2 linked regions of the Oryzias latipes genome follow. The protein of the gene in region 1 interacts with the protein of each later gene in a pairwise test. Links are inferred from orthologs where the notes say so. Each region holds a gene or a part of one and is shown on either strand. Other genes may lie near its edges.

Evidence for each region.
Region 2: the proteins of kctd1 (region 1) and exosc1 interact in binary tests that used the Homo sapiens proteins (3 or more experiments, as listed by UniProt). The two-hybrid records come from large-scale screens. The link is inferred for Oryzias latipes from reciprocal best matches to the Homo sapiens genes KCTD1 and EXOSC1.

What each region holds. Positions count from the first base shown.
Region 1 is NC_019875.2:25,794,117-25,797,499, reverse strand, and holds the end of kctd1 (BTB/POZ domain-containing protein KCTD1), read left to right. Parts: intron 1-1,754; coding exon 1,755-1,916; 3' UTR 1,917-2,784; downstream 2,785-3,383. UniProt on the Homo sapiens protein: May repress the transcriptional activity of AP-2 family members, including TFAP2A, TFAP2B and TFAP2C to various extent.
Region 2 is NC_019859.2:28,382,328-28,385,509, forward strand, and holds part of exosc1 (exosome complex component CSL4), read left to right. Parts: intron 1-346; coding exon 347-435; intron 436-502; coding exon 503-536; intron 537-601; coding exon 602-652; intron 653-726; coding exon 727-811; intron 812-3,182. UniProt on the Homo sapiens protein: Non-catalytic component of the RNA exosome complex which has 3'->5' exoribonuclease activity and participates in a multitude of cellular RNA processing and degradation events.

The sequences.
Region 1 (3,383 bases):
GCATTCAAAGCTCTTGCATTCACTGAACGCAGGTTGGGTGATCTTTCACCAACCAGAGACTAGTATTTGGTAGTGACGTATGAATGGTGTCCCTATTAATTCATTAAATTGATCACGGAGGAGAAATTAATAATTGCGGTCTGTGCCCGGGTGAAATTATGACACCAAGTCTTTTATATGTCGGAATAGAGCTGTGAAAGAAAAAGCCTGGAGAAAGATTTGCGAGATTTGCACCACTTTGACATTTCTCACCAAGCCTTTACTAACTGTAGGTGAAGGACATGTGCTAGCCCCTCCCTGCTTGTCCAATGTGAATACAGTGGGCTACTCGCACTTTAAAGAACCCACGTATAGCGCGTTCTTAAAGTGCGTCACATGCCTGTGTGTCCGCACTAAGCTTCAGTCCTCAAAATAAGCTGCAAGGGCTGGTTTTGTCCCTAGCTCATGCACTGTTGATGAGAATTGAGTGAATGAAGTCTACATGAGCCACAAGGACCCCTACAAAATGTGAAAAAAACAGATACTGCCTCCCGAGGGGTCTTTGAATCGATGATTATTTAGAATAACATCAAACTTCTTTATGCTTATTCTTATCTATTGCTTCCTATCTTCATAAAATCCAAATGATCAACAGTAATTTGCACCTAAATGAAAATTAGCAAACATTTAAGGGAGTACCTTCAGCAAAATTTTCCTTGATGACTATCTAGAAATTGTGTTGTACCAATAAACACTCTCTGGCTCTTAAACCAGGCTCTGAGCAGCATGCATTTTGGCAATGACCCTACTTTGGTTAATATATTGATATTTTGCTAATTCAGTGATGTTAATAACCTCAGACAGCTATCAATAACTGATTAGGAGAGACCCTGTTTAGAAAGATTTCACAATGATTTGGATTGTGTTGCCATCTGAAGTCAAATTTCCACCTCCTTCCCAAAAACACACAAACAAAACCGGCCTCTGAAGTGTGTGAGTCGTGGAGAGCAAGCAAAGAGTGAGCATGCTCCCTGGCAGGTTGTCCTCAGGCAGAGCCCATAATCCTGTTTGGTTATTAAAGCACGCCGCCGGTGAATGCTGTATCTGCGGCTAATGGAGGCAGGACGGGGGGAGTTTGAGAGAAGGAAGGGGAGCATAGAGAGCTGCCAGCAGTTGGGGGACCTTTGTAGTTTTGGTGGAGGCTTGGACCCCGGGGGGAATCTGTGGAGAGGGGTGTTCGCAGAGCAGCCCATATTGAGCCAAGTGGCAGAAAGAAAAGCCTCACTGCTCCCTGGGGCCTCTTCGATGGAATGTGATCCTACAGCCCCCCCAGACACGTTAGTAGATGTCTGCAAGGCTGCAAGATCAGGAACAGCTAGACACGCACATGGAAAAACACACATGTACACCCAAAAAAACAACGAGAACAGAGCATTCACCTGCGTGAGAGCCTCTTGGTTTCGTGGAAGTCTTGTGAAAATCGTATCCAAAATCCCATCACACAGTAAGCATATGCTGCTGCAGCTTACATTCAAAGCTGTTTCCAGCTCCAGACATAGCACTCAAGCCACAGCATGTGTTGGAGGTGTTTGGTACAATCCCCAGTTTCCCAGTCTGGAGATGCTAAACAAAAGGTTATCCTTCAGAGTCATCATTTTAGTAAAACGGTGACAATCAATGCATGCAACAGAAGAAGAAAGTATGGTTTGTTGCAGTGGCTTCTGCTCCTCCTTTTATTTCCTACTCACAGGTTCTCCCTTCTGTCTCATCCTCAGGTTCTAGAGCGTCTCCAACAACGTGGCTTTGAGATCGCCGGCTCCTGCGGTGGAGGCGTGGACTCATCCCAATTCAGCGAGTACGTCCTGCGGAGGGAACTGAGGAGAACAAATCAGCGAGGCCCTAATTCAAACAGGATAAAGCAGGAGCAGCTGGACTAAAACCCTCCCGAGCTGTAGGAGGCACTAGACTCTTCTGTCGCGGTCAAACGTATGACGCTACAGACCTCTGTGGACTATTTTTCTTCATTTCCTTGTTGATGTTCTAGTTTTCTTAAACTTAAGAACCATCTAGGGAATAACAATAAAGTGCAAGAGGAGATTTTTGACATGAGAAGATACAAGACATTTGAGAAGTTTGAGATTGCAAGGACATTTGTGATTGTCTAGCCCCCATTAAACCAATTCCGAAGGATTTATAAGAGCTGGATACCCAAACAAAGTTTATTTTAAAACTTGGAGCCTACATTAGGTTGAATATAATTTCTAATTTACAAACATAAATTAAGTCTTTTATTGCTGATGTTGTACGTTGACTAGGTTGTTATTGGTGGATTGATTTGGTTGTCAAACCGACAAACTGGCCCAATTGGTTTTCAAGTATTTAATCTAAAATAAAATAGTGTTGCAATTGTCATAAAAATTTGATTTCAATGATGCATTTCAAAAAGAATTTCCAGTTAATATTGTTTATATTGTGATACAAATGAAGTGGTTTTGCATTAGTTGAGATTATTTTAATGTTTTGTGCCATGAAATAAAAAAAAGATAATAGTTTCATCAAAGTTTAAATTCCTGATTAAGGCAGTAAAAGATATTATTTTGTAATGTTTTACACCATTTGCCTCATTGGGGGGTATGAACCTCAACTTCATGTGCAACATTGGGACTTATTTAATTGGATCATAACCTTACCTTGAGTCTTGTACATTTTCATTGTATATGTGTTTGTGTTTTTTACATTTTTTAAAGCTAATTTGTTGCCTAAGACATGACTGAACAGATTAAAAGTTATTGTTCTACCCAACCACAAGATCGCTTTTTTTTTTCTCTGATGATCAAGTTGATATGACGTATATAAAGTATTTCTAAGATTACTGGCCTACGCTCCCTAGTTTTAAGAGGAATGTAGCAAAAAAAATGTGAAATAAATCTCGGCTAAAATTGTCATCTGCTCTTTTTACTGTGCTGCACAGACTTTCCATACATCTACAGGGTGTGAAAATGATGCGGGACTTTCCGGATTTCTCACATTTTTTTATCAGTTTGACCTTTGTGAAATCACATTTTTTCACGTCTTGGTATTTCTTAGCTCTTTTTAACCAGAGAAGTAAAGCAAACTATCAAGCGGTGTTCTACCTTGGAGGTTTATGTTGGTGCATCGGAGACTACACAGGACACTGCTTATATTGAATGGAGTTGACTTCTCCAAGCAAGTTCTGTCAGTTGTGTTTCCACATATTCCTGCAGGGCCAAAATCCAAAGTGAAATCCCACACAGAGCCCTGTCATCTTGTCTCCGTTCCTTTTGGCAGAATCTCCACTTTCTTTGGCTATCTGCCGTTTATGCTATATGTCTCCCTTTTGGGCCTCTTTGCCCCAGATTCCCTTTAAAGCTAAAAGTTAAAAG
Region 2 (3,182 bases), on another chromosome or scaffold:
GACGTGTTTGTTTTCAATACCTAGAACAGAGAGGAGGACTGGTGTTATTACGCCATTTGGAAGCGGTTTCACACTCACATGTGTGAACAAATATTAGCTCCTATTTAGACTGATTCTACAAGAGAAAAGCTTTTACAGCACTTATGTAATCAAAGGTTTTTCCAAAGCTTTAGCTGACACCAAATTGCAGATAAGATGATGTTTTCCACATAGTTGGTTAGGTTTTGTGGGACAGATGCTGGACTTCTCCCTGCCAGAGAAAGTTGTTTGAATCCCAGAAGCTTCTAGTCTGAATATGTGAGTACATCAAGCACACATTTTAATTGTCAGATCCTTCATGTTACAGGTGACGAGCATCAATTCCAGGTTCGCCAAAGTGCACATCCTGTATGTGGGCTCCACGCCGCTCAAGGACCTGTTCAGAGGAACCATCAGGTGAGGCAGAGTGGACGCAGCAGATGTGGCTGTTTTAGTGCTGTCTGACGCTCTTCTGTGTGTTCAGGAAAGAAGACGTTCGCGCCACAGAGAAAGATAAGGTGAGCGAGATCCGTTTGGCCCGGCGCCGTCCGTCCTTGCTGGTCTGACGTTGAGCTTTGTTTAGGTGGAGATGCACAGAAGCTTTAGACCTGGGGACATTGTTCTGGCCAAAGTGGTATCCTTCATATTTCTTGATGCTCCGCGCACAAAGCTCAGAAGCTGGCATGGCAGACCTTAACCTGACGCTAGATTTCTCTGGGAGACGTTCAGTCCAACTACCTGCTGACCACTGCAGAGAACGAGCTCGGAGTGGTGGTGGCGCACAGCGACGCAGGTGAGCGCACGGTCACCCTGCTGTGACGGGACGGCGGTGTTCAACCACCGGGTCAGACGGGAGTTCGAAATATTACAAAATAGAATTTATGTCATCCTCTGTCCTCGCCTGCCCTCATATGTGGAAGAAAAGCCATGTCTGTGTGTGTTTGGGTCAGCGCATATGTGTGCAAGTTTGTGTGTGTGAGGTAGAGTTGGCGTGTGTGCGTGAATAGCGTGTCATCTGGACCCCACAAGATAACAGAAGGGTTATTTATATGCACCCGTATTTATTAGCATTTGTATGAGGATTTATGTTGGTGTGTATGTGTGTTAACATGCGAGTTTGTTCTAGCATGGATGTGTGTGAATGTGTGTTAGCATTTGTGTTAGGATGTGTTGGTGTGTGAGTTTGTCAGTTTGATTTTGTCTTGGCATTTGTGTGCTTTGCGTTGGTTTCAGTTTTTTATGTTTGTGCTGACATAAACTCTAACCTTTTTAACGCCGCGGACCGGTATGACGTCATACAAAGTTTTCACGGGCCGGTCTATATGATGTGGCCGACAATTATTGTAGCAACGCTACACTGAAGTTAAAGCGCAGGCATGACAAGAAGAATCCGTGCTTTCATTTTGACACGGACGTCACTCAGGTGTCATCATCTTCTCCCCTTCCTACACTCCTGGTGCAAAGGCTCCTCTTCTGTCTCCTGGCTGGGCGTTTTTCCCCTTTTCACACTTTCCAAAGACGTTTGTTTTTTACTAATTTTGCCAGCTCCTGGGTTTTATTTTAGCGGGATCCTATCACGTGACCGAGAAGAGAACCTTGGCCTGCGTCAAGAGTGACATAGACGGATGGAATAGGCTCCGTGCACGAAAGTAAGGAGTTCTACTTCCGCCGCCTTGAGTGTGAGGCCGACCATTTCCGGCTTGCGACTTCTATAGCAGCGACACGGCAGATTTTGATTGCGAAAGATGGCATATTTCACCCGTTTTCTACAAGGTCTCCCGAAAATCGACGTGAACGACATCTATAGGATTGTCGACCAGTGCGTGGTTACATGGGCAAAATATCGTGTCGAAAAATATAGTGTACAAAATACCGAAAGGAAATGTGTCCCGTTGTAAACAAACCTGTGCTGTCACATATTTATGCAGCAGCTCGGTAATATACGAGGCGATCTTCCAAACGTGCTTTTATTAATTTTATGAATATTATGAAGTGCCTGTTCGATCATCATTTTATATTTAATCCTTGTGGTCAGTGCTTTTTTTTTTTTTGTGGAAGAAGAACAGAACTGAAGAACAACCCAGTGTTAGGATAGGCTAACAACACGGGCTAACAACATCAGCCTTTATTTGTCGGGGCACAATTAGAAACACGATTCCATGTGTCGTGATTTTTTGAACAGTTTCTAAGGACTGAGCGGCATTTCTGCTCTGTAAAGCTCACACACTGCCCCGTGACGGCTGTGTAAGCTGGCCGCTCGAGCTCTGCTCTGTCCTCGCGAGTCCGGCAGCCGCTAACCCAGAGCGGCGGCTCGGCTCGCAGTCCGAATTCTCACACATAACAAAACGCACACGTAACAAAGCACCCTCCCCTCAAACACATTAATAAATCCAGCTGATCTGCTCAGTCAGAGGTTCATTCGGTCCACTGGCTCCGGAGCCCGAACGCAGAGCTCGGATGCTGGGTTTCAGACGTCAGTGGACACGCACCCCCCCCCCCCCCCCCCGCATCTCCCTCGTGAGGGGTGAAAGAGAGGGGAGACCCAGCGGGGCGAGAGCGGAGCGGCGCTTTACGCGGGGCGTCCGCAGAGCCGCTGGTCGGTCCCGTATGAGCTCCAAAGCTTTCTCTCAGCGAAACACCGTCAATGCATGACGTAACCCAGAGCAGCAGTGACACACGATCGGAATGACCGTTTACATGAACAACGATCGGTATACCCAGCTATCTCGATCGGAAAGAAATTTTGATCCAAACGAGTCTGACCGGGGCAAAGTATTCCGAACGGTGTGTTTACATGACGTATTTTCTTTCCGATTGCTGCAAATACGAAACACGACTCGTCTTGTTTGGGGTGAAGTCCTCCCGCCGTGTTCACCATCATTCGGCTCTCACCGACACATATACTGGAAAGCTATGAAAGCTTATATTAGTACTGTTGTACTTTGACAAATTCGCACACGGGTATACACAACAATGTTGTGATGTCTTTGTCACGCGTTGAAACACCAAACTCCTTTCTTTTACCCGAAATCTGCTCCTATTTACTCAAAACTAGCAACTCAACAAAACTCCCCACAACACTAACACGACCAACAGGTAGTTGTCGGCCTCACACTCGAAACACGGAAGTTAACCGGAAGTTCTGTCGTGCACGACAGAACTTC